Arabidopsis thaliana: one gene and its partner. The protein of the gene in region 1 interacts with the protein of each later gene in a pairwise test. Each region holds a gene or a part of one and is shown in the gene's direction. Other genes may lie near its edges. The genes, in order: NYE1 and PAO1.

Evidence for each region.
Region 2: the proteins of NYE1 (region 1) and PAO1 interact in a protein complementation assay, tested with the Arabidopsis thaliana proteins (one study listed by BioGRID).

Annotation. Positions count from the first base shown.
Region 1 is NC_003075.7:12,015,736-12,020,316, reverse strand, and holds NYE1 (non-yellowing 1), read left to right. Parts: upstream 1-1,673; 5' UTR 1,674-1,710; intron 1,711-1,782; 5' UTR 1,783-2,347; coding exon 2,348-2,488; intron 2,489-2,605; coding exon 2,606-2,779; intron 2,780-2,973; coding exon 2,974-3,141; intron 3,142-3,217; coding exon 3,218-3,541; 3' UTR 3,542-3,854; downstream 3,855-4,581. Other genes in the region: PYR4 (pyrimidin 4), read right to left, coding at 70-206, 322-503, 696-844, 973-1,002. UniProt on the Arabidopsis thaliana protein: Magnesium chelatase involved in chlorophyll a degradation in the chlorophyll-protein complexes of photosystem I (PSI) and photosystem II (PSII). Contributes to the degradation of PSI and PSII in the thylakoid membranes.
Region 2 is NC_003076.8:4,419,258-4,424,800, reverse strand, and holds PAO1 (polyamine oxidase 1), read left to right. Parts: upstream 1-1,705; 5' UTR 1,706-1,826; coding exon 1,827-1,869; intron 1,870-1,942; coding exon 1,943-2,192; intron 2,193-2,273; coding exon 2,274-2,396; intron 2,397-2,476; coding exon 2,477-2,538; intron 2,539-2,616; coding exon 2,617-2,771; intron 2,772-3,173; coding exon 3,174-3,317; intron 3,318-3,557; coding exon 3,558-3,707; intron 3,708-4,005; coding exon 4,006-4,260; intron 4,261-4,342; coding exon 4,343-4,579; 3' UTR 4,580-4,641; downstream 4,642-5,543. Other genes in the region: SMT1 (sterol methyltransferase 1), read left to right, coding at 1-25, 111-194, 284-409, 499-596, 702-753; CYL1 (alpha-N-acetylglucosaminidase family / NAGLU family), read right to left, coding at 4,642-4,880, 4,965-5,043, 5,122-5,359, 5,429-5,543.

The DNA of each region.
Region 1 (4,581 bases):
CTAATCAAAACATTCCTCAGACAAGACAAAGACAAAAATACAAGTCTATGTGGTGTATGATTTATTTACCAGCAAAGGCATGTTTTGTTTGACCATCTCTTCTAGTACCGGTAAGCATTTTCCAAAGAGATCCGTGACACCATCTTGAGAGTTGGTTGTTGCTCCGGCAGGGTACAGCTTCACCGCATAAACCACACCACTTTCCCCTAATAACAAGATCATATATGCATAAACTGAACATTAGCAAGTAGAATCTCAATCAGAAAGATGAAAATGTATCTGATTAGTTTGCAACAAGATGGAGAAAGCACAGGTACTTACTTGCAAGCCTGATCTCTTCAGGTAGAGTTTTGTCAGTCAAATAAAGTGTCATAAGTGGATCAAAGCTACTCTCAGATGGCAAAGCTTTCATGATAAATTTCCGGTAAATAATGGCAGCTGCAGTGGAGGTGACAGGAGGCTTCAGATTCGGCATCACAATCGCTCTCTTAAAATTACTCGCACTGCACATAATTACATACACCATTAACCATCATGTACAGCACAAGCATCAACGCCAGCACAAGATTGTGATTGAGGAATTCATACATAACAAACAATGGTTCCACAAGAAACACCAATAGCAAACAAAAAAGTGGCTGCAAAACAAAGTAAAGCAAGGAAAGAAAAGAAAGATTGCAGGATGTTTATAAGACCTGTGGGGAACAACAGCATGAAGAAGATCACCGTCACGGAGATGAAGATGCCAATCATCAGGTTGAGTGATTGTGAGCTCCATTCTTACTGCTCTCGTCTTCACTTTCTCAGAAGATCTGTCAAACTTCAACTTCTGAGATCCAAATCCCTACATAAAGAATAAAATAGTTGACTTTAACAGACGCATAGGAGGAATTAAATAAAATTAAAACTGGATCACGTGGATTGAACTAAACAAGAATAAGACTCAAAGAGTGGTGGAGGTAGAGTACATACACTATAAGGAGAGACCAAAGTCTTTATCATCTGAAAGCTGCTCAAGGCTTTGCAAGAATTCACCTGTTCCAAAGCAAATGACAAGTAGACTCAGATTCTATAACATGACCTTAAAAAATTGACTCTGTTCTAAAGTATTAGCAGGCACTAAAACTATTCAATCATCATCAAAAGATTTCGCATTCCTTTGGTTCAATGTTTCTCCAAACGAAATTTAGTATCCAGATTAATCAAATTTCTATACACACAAATGGGTATCAGCAAAATCCAAAGAAATCAAATTATCCAAACAATAAACCACAAAATGGCGAAACTGGTAAACACCTAGAAACCAAAATCGAAAACTTGAACTTGTTTAGGTAAGCAATACGAACCTGGATAAACGAAATGCACAACAGGGATGCTTACAACACAAACAAAACGAACCCCAAAAAGAGTGATTTGAGGAAGAGATTGAAGGAGAAAGAAGAAGAAAAAACAGTACTCGTGTTTTGTTGTTTACAAGATACGACGTCGCTTAACGTAAAAGAAGAAGAAAAAAATAAAAGCTCTGTAACAGGCCAGCCCAATTTTAGCCCGATATTTTTAATGGACCTGGACCTGATCACAAATTTCAGCCCTTTTTAACATCCTTATGGATCAACATGGGACTCTCTGACTCCTCCGGTTCCATCAATACCTGCGTTTGTTGTCCTTGTTCACGACGATTCAAGCGAAGAAGCCTCTCGAGTTTCACAGGTCTAATAACTAAACCGAGTAATCGAGTCGAATGACATTAAATTGAACCGAAACTAAACCGTATTGCTTTAGGTTCGACTGACAACTACAGTACGTGAGTTAGGTTCGGTTAGAGCCGAATCTGTGTCTCTTTGTCGCAACGAGATGGCTAAAGTTATCCAAAAAGACGGTTAGAGCCAGTTGTTAGCCCCACCATGACGACACATGGGGAAGCTCATGCAAAGATTAGAGAACACGTGGCACTCTCTCGTGTTCAGAAAAATTCCAAAAGAGTGTTCAGATTTGGGCACGGAAGTGTGAAACGTGAAGCAACAATCCCTTTTAAACACAAGAACCAACTCAATACGCATCACAAAGAACCCTAAATTCCTGGAAGATCTCAAAAGGAAAATTCAAAACCAAAGCTTCAAGCAATCATCAAGCAAAGGAAAAGCTCAAATTTTGGGTCTTTTATATATTTATTTCTTAAAGTTACAATCTTTTTGATTGTGGTTTCAGTGTACGAACACGCAAGAACTCGCGTGAAAAAATTGTATCCAAGCTTCGTGAAAGGAGTCTCTCTGTATTTAGTGGCGTTTTGTTCTGTTGTTATTTCTGAAATATTGAAGCTTTTGATTTGGGTTTCAAGAGAGCAGAGATGTGTAGTTTGTCGGCGATTATGTTGTTACCAACGAAGCTGAAACCAGCTTATTCAGACAAACGGAGTAACAGTAGCAGCAGCAGCTCACTCTTCTTCAACAATAGAAGATCCAAGAAGAAGAACCAATCGATTGTTCCCGTAAGGATTTGTTCTCTTAATCATTTTGACATATCTTTGTTTTATGTGTCTCAGTTATGGATATATCTATGCCTCTGTCTTTATTGATGGAACTTGAAACTTTTGGGATCGGTGCAGGTTGCAAGGTTGTTTGGACCGGCGATTTTCGAATCATCCAAATTGAAAGTACTCTTCTTAGGGGTTGATGAGAAGAAGCATCCTTCAACGCTCCCTAGGACTTACACACTCACTCACAGTGACATTACAGCTAAACTAACCTTAGCTATTTCTCAATCCATAAACAACTCTCAGGTAAAAACACCTCTCTCTCTGGTCTTAACATATCTACATGGCTCTGTTTATAGGAGTAGAATGTTTATGTATTTGATTATTTGGAGCAAATATTAGAGGCTTATGTATGATTGTTTTAACCTATGTATGTGTCTATATTCACCAGAATCTCTTAACACTTTAGAGGCTGATATGTATAGAAATGTTTTTTATAGTTGCAAGGATGGGCAAATAGGCTATACCGGGATGAAGTTGTGGCAGAATGGAAGAAAGTGAAAGGGAAAATGTCGCTTCACGTTCATTGTCACATAAGCGGTGGCCATTTCCTTTTAGATCTCTTTGCAAAGTTTCGATATTTCATCTTTTGCAAAGAACTACCTGTGGTAAGTTCCCAAATTCATAAGAAACTTTTTATTGGTTTCATGTAAAACAAAATGTTTATTGTTTTGATATATACAGGTGTTGAAGGCTTTTGTGCATGGAGATGGGAACTTGTTGAACAACTATCCTGAGCTACAAGAAGCTCTTGTTTGGGTCTATTTCCATTCTAATGTCAATGAGTTCAACAAAGTCGAGTGTTGGGGTCCGCTTTGGGAAGCTGTTTCGCCTGATGGTCACAAGACTGAGACTCTTCCCGAGGCTCGGTGTGCGGACGAGTGTAGTTGTTGTTTTCCAACCGTTAGCTCGATTCCATGGTCTCATAGTCTTAGTAATGAAGGTGTAAATGGTTACTCTGGGACTCAGACTGAGGGAATTGCTACTCCAAATCCGGAGAAACTCTAGTGACTAAATATCAAATTACAAGTTTTTCTTTTGGTAGTTTGTACAAAGTGAAAAGGAAATGGCAGGACTTTCCTTTTGGTGGATCTAAATATTGGTTTGGTTTGGTGTACATAATGTGGTATAGGAAAATAATGATTATTTGTAGGTTAAATACAGATTTTAAAGTTTCAAATGGTATTTTGTGTCTACTCTGAAGTCTTTATCATAGTTGTATACTTGTATTGTATCTCATCCACAAGATCAAAATGTAAATTTCTTACAGATTAGCTAATATTAAAGGTGACAGACTGGTATAGTACTACTGCAATGCAAACATAAAGATGAATAAATTGTTGTTTAATGAACATATATATTTTAATATATCAAAACATTCATGAGAATCATCACCAATTTAAAGTTATACTAATATCCCAAATAAGAATAGTTTAGAAATATGAAGATATTCATGAGAATCATCACCAAAGTAACAATAGACGTATATTAAGGACCGAATTCGTCGGTGTAACGGTGAGAAACTAAGGAGAAACGTGAAGGTAAAGAGATGGCAAAAGACTTTGTCTCTCTGGTGGTTTTGCAAAGCGTATCAGCCACTTCTTGCTCCTAATGATTCCAAATTATTTTCTTGGATTTATTTGGTCTCTTTCTTCAATATCTTTTTCATTTTATAACCAAATCAAGATGACTTTTTTTCTCTGACCCCATTCGTCTATCTAATTTACGACCAAATACACCAAATACAGAAAGAGAAGAAGAACAAGTAATATAAGAGAATGGTAACGAATTATTGCATTATTATCATGGGCTTATTTTATAAAATGTTGTGTTCGTAAGTAAATAAATACAAAAGAAACTATATTTTGATATATGAAGAAAAATTGAATAAAGATATACACTTTGGAAAATTTTGGGGGAAAATGTTGTGCATCTTGATGGAAACCCAAAGATCGTGATTAAATCAAAAGGGTTAGATCTTGTTGCATCCGTGTGTAAAAGAATTTAATGACTCTCTGCTCCCGTGTGAAAAAAGTTGGTTGAGACGA
Region 2 (5,543 bases), on another chromosome or scaffold:
TAACGCCGAACATCAGAAAATAAAGGTTAGTGTGTCCCTTGCATCTATCCATATTATTTATTTGTGCTTTTATTATCAACATGAATACAAACAAAGACTCCATTTTTCAGGGAGAGATAGAGATTGGAGATGGTCTTCCTGACATTAGGCTGACTACAAAATGCCTCGAAGCTCTGAAGCAGGCCGGTTTTGAAGTAAGTATCTGATTTTATGGATCCTCTGTATTTCCAAACACATCAACATTTCAACATCTAAATACTATTATCCTCTGCGTTGGATGAAGGTGATATGGGAAAAGGATCTGGCCAAGGACTCGCCGGTCCCATGGTACTTACCTCTTGACAAAAATCATTTCTCACTCAGTAGCTTCCGCCTTACAGCTGTTGGACGATTCATAACCAAAAACATGGTAAAAAACTTGCTCTAACTAATCTGCCAAATCCCATAAACTATTAGTAGTTCATTTATCCGAACTTGTCATTGTTATTTATGTGGTAGGTCAAGATCCTTGAATACATAAGACTTGCACCTCAAGGAAGCCAAAGGGTCTCAAATTTCCTGGAGCAGGCTGCGGAAGGATTAGTCGACGGTGGAAGGTGAGAGGATCCCAACTTTTATTTATTCAGACCATCAAGATTCACTTTAGATTTATCTTTTTTGGGGTAGAATTCTAAATCTCTTCTTGGATAAATGTTTCTCAGGAGAGAGATTTTCACGCCAATGTATTTCTTCTTGGCCCGGAAGCCAGAGTAAGCGGATGAGAGATGGCGATGGTCATCGTAGGTCGAATGAAGTGACAAAATTTCTCAATTTGCAGTCTTATTTTCTATGTTTATCGGATTTGTTGCAGAGTTTCTTATTCACCAACTATATTTTGGATGTTCGTAACATGTCACGTGTTGTTCATGTGCACTCTGCCTGAAATCTGAATCATGTGCACATGCCCAAAATATCTTGGAATCTTTCTTTCTCTTTAGATCTCAAAAACCTTTTTCTTTTGTCGTTTTATGCCAAGATTCAAAAGTGGGGCCTCCTGATTCCTGATATTTTGCTGACACCACCTCCTTTGTCCGCTCCTTTAATGATAAGGGAGAATCTTTGTTTTTCCTCCATGGTTTTTTGTTTTGTTTTTTAACACTACCTCTCCATAGATCTGATTATAAAATTCTCTTGAATTCAATTCTCTGTCTTTGATAAAGGAGAAACTAATTTGTTGATCGTGGATTGAATTATGACAAGTCAGAGGAAAAAATGTCAAAAGTAAACAGAATAAAAACAACTTAGAAGAAATGTTTTTTCTTGCTATCTCTTTTGCATTTTCTTAGTCGCTCCATATAATTCAGAACAAGAGTAAAAAAACATCTTCGCAGCTCATCCTAATGAGAAAGTGCATAAATGACAATAGTTTTCTCAAAACGTATTAGAGGGTACAAAAACCTCTCAACCAGTCGATAAAAAAAAAAAAAAAACCTCTCAACCAAATCTCTTGTTTGAAATATTTTCTTTAAAATAATTTCATTTAGTGGGCCATAACTTTTATTGGGCTTTAGAATATTCAGGCCCGTCCTGATAAGATATACACCTGAGAAAAACAATTATCGTCACTAGCCTTGTTTGATGCCAAAAACCCTGACACAGGTACCGTGTACGCAAAGCGCGTCACATACACGCGTTCTCAGGTGTTTAAGTTCGAGTAGAAGTAGAATTCCTCCTCCTTCCTCTCTCTCTCTCTATATATATAAACCCCAAACGAAACGAAAACGAACCAACTCCTTCTCCTCTCGCCCCAACCAACAAACTAACAAACACCTTTCGCTCTCTCTCTAATGTCTACCGCCTCCGTCATCATCATTGGCGCTGGAATCTCCGGTTCGGATCAAAACATCCATTAACACTCGTGCTCTTTATAAAATAACTAACGGAATTTTGTTTTGAAATTCAGGAATATCGGCGGCGAAGGTTCTCGTCGAGAACGGAGTAGAAGATGTATTGATACTGGAAGCGACGGATCGGATCGGAGGAAGAATACATAAACAGAATTTCGGTGACGTGCCGGTGGAGCTTGGCGCCGGTTGGATTGCCGGTGTCGGTGGTAAAGAGTCTAATCCCGTTTGGGAACTTGCCTCGCGTTTTAACCTCCGTACTTGCTTTTCCGATTACACCAATGCTCGTTTCAATATCTACGATCGAAGGTTAAAACTGATCCCCTGATTATTAATGTAACTCAATCCTCAAGAATCAAAGATTTATTTTCCGTTGATTGAATTTTGCAGTGGTAAAATCTTCCCGACGGGAATCGCTTCTGACTCGTATAAAAAGGCGGTTGACTCGGCGATTCTCAAGTTAAAGAGCCTTGAAGCTCAATGTTCTGGTCAAGTAGCTGAAGAAGCTCCTTCGTGCGTTTTGATCCTCTCTGTTTTGCTTACTGGTTTTTTTATTTTGCTTCGATTCTAATGTGTTTTGGTTTGGTGTTTAGGTCACCGAAGACGCCAATAGAACTAGCCATTGACTTTATCTTGCATGATTTTGAGATGGCTGGTGAGTTCTTGAGAAACACACATGATAATAATGTCGCAGATTGATTGGTTGATTGATTCTTTATACTACTAATTTCAGAGGTAGAGCCAATATCCACTTATGTAGACTTTGGTGAAAGAGAGTTCTTGGTTGCTGATGAAAGAGGTTACGAATGTTTACTTTATAAAATGGCTGAGGAATTTCTCGTTACCTCACATGGAAATATCTTGGACTACCGCCTCAAACTAAACCAGGTATAGTAAGATCTCTGATATTGATTAGGTTTTGAGTTAAAAGAGTATATATTGACGTTATTTGGAAAGCTACTTTTGCTTTTTAGCTGTTGTCACTCTCTATTAGGTTGATTGATTTGCATTATCTTTTTTTCTGCTAAGGTTCTCTCAGCCTTTGGTGTATAGTGGAATTGATTACATTCCGGGTCCTTGTAGCTATATTTTTGTTTAGTATAGTAACAGTTTTCTATTGAAAGTTGATAGTTTCTTGGGAAGCATTATTGTGGGGTATGCATGAATGAGCGTGTTGTATTTATTGCCTCTCTCATAAACCAGCTGGCTTAACTTTGAAAGCTGTGTGTTATATTAGTAATCTATATTGGAGGAGCAATAGTGTGATGAAGTTGTGGGAATTAATGGCAGGTAGTTAGGGAGGTGCAACAGTCTAGGAATGGGGTAGTGGTGAAGACAGAGGATGGTTCCGTATACGAAGCTAATTATGTGATCGTGTCTGCGAGTATCGGTGTTCTCCAATCTGATCTTCTCTCCTTCCAACCCCTTTTACCCGTTAGTTTACTTTCTCTTCTTCTTCTCATATAATCATAATTTATGATCAACTACTCATTGGTCTTACCTTTTATGCTTATTTAACATTTTAAAAGATACAAGGTGTAGATGTTTAATCAATCAATGTGCATGAATCTAGGGAAATATTAAATTGTATCAGCCATTAGGATAGCAAGTCAAATATTTTGGTGTCTATATGCATTATTATGCTTACTATCCAAAATTTATATTTGGTGACAGAGATGGAAAACAGAAGCTATACAAAAATGTGATGTGATGGTGTACACCAAGATCTTCCTGAAATTCCCTCAATGTTTCTGGCCATGTGGTCCTGGTCAAGAGTTTTTCATTTATGCACACGAACAACGCGGCTATTTCACCTTTTGGCAGGTTAAATTTCCCTTAATAATGAGATTGTAATTGTTTGTTAATGTCGATGCATCTTTTTGGTCGTTCCACTTAAGGTCGAAACGTGGCACATATTGACTCTCTAATCTTAAAATTAAACACCTGGGGGTCCCTTTGATTTAACACTATCATTGCTTTTATATTATCTTGAGTGTCTCTAACTAGCGGCATGATCCATGTGGGTAAGAGTATAGAATTCACACAATAATATAATAATGTGTATGCATACTACAACTTGCTTGCTCTCCTCTCAAGCTTATATGTGTGCTTTTGGTAACAGCACATGGAAAATGCGTACCCGGGCTCTAACATTCTGGTGGTGACGTTGACCAACGAACAATCAAAGCGCGTTGAAGCTCAATCAGACCAGGAGACGATGAAAGAGGCAATGAGTGTTCTCAGGGACATGTTTGGGGCCACCATTCCTTACGCAACCGATATTCTTGTCCCCAGGTGGTGGAACAACCGGTTTCAACGCGGTAGCTACAGTAATTACCCTATGATATCTGATAATCAGCTTCTGCAAAATATCAAGGTAAACACATTTTGTTGTTGTTATTAAGACGCACACACATACACATGTCTGTCAGAAATTTAAGAGGTTTATGTTTATTCAGGCCCCAGTTGGACGGATATTCTTTACAGGAGAACACACAAGTGAAAAGTTCAGTGGGTATGTACATGGAGGATACCTTGCAGGTATTGACACAAGTAAATCTTTGTTGGAAGAGATGAAGCAGAGTTTGTTGTTACAACCTTTATTGGCCTTCACCGAGTCTCTTACACTAACACATCAGAAGCCTAATAACTCTCAAATTTACACAAATGTTAAATTTATCTCAGGCACAAGCTAGAAAGTAGAAACCCAACCCTTTTGTTTATTTTATTTATTCGTTTGAGCTACTCTTGAGTAAACTCATGGGAAGTATTTACTCAACAGATGCCTTGAAATAGCTAACGCGTCTCCTTTTGCCTTAACTGGATAGACCTCTGATGAACTTTGTTGCCATTTGTGTGACATCATTATCCATTCTCTTCGCCATTTCTCTACCTTGAATATCTTCTTATCTCTTAAACTTTTCAGCATTTCATTAAAATACAACCTCGCTCGGGGTAAGTAGTAGTCTTCAAGTAACCCACTCCAGAACTTGTTTGCTGATGATGATGATCATAAAACATAACAGTTTTTTAAAAAGCTCTATCCACTCGAGAATCTTTTTTTTTAAGTTTATATCTTACCGTAATCATGAAGCTTGCTTTGGTTCACATCGTTCGAGTCATACCACATTGTCACTTGCGTTCTCGCGTTCCACTCGTACTGTACACAGAGAAACAAAGTGAGCAAGTAATCTACTTCTTCTACCCGCACGTTCCAAGAACAAGAATGATGTTACACCTGTTTCCTTTCATCACCGTTTTTGGCCAACTTCTTTGCACTCTCCAGCCATGTCCCCAGAAGGCAATTATCATCCGAAGCAAGTAGAACGTCCATGTCCTTTATAAGCTCCAGAAACTTCTCACTCAATTGTCCTAAGCTTCCGATATCTTTCTTTACAAAAGCTGTCACTGCTTCGGTGTACACCTGGTTTGCTAGCTTCGATAAAACTTGACGCGTCAAATCAACCATGTCATACCTGCAAGCAAAACCCAAAGGAATCTGTAACCACTAAAATGGTAGATAATCTATCTCTACTTGCATCTACCTATATGTTAAGCTCCTTGACAGATCATCCCCAGCTTCCAGGAAAAGTTTGAGAGCTTGGATCACCTCCTTTGTAGAATACCATAAATGGGCCTTAGGCAAATCAGCGGTCTTAT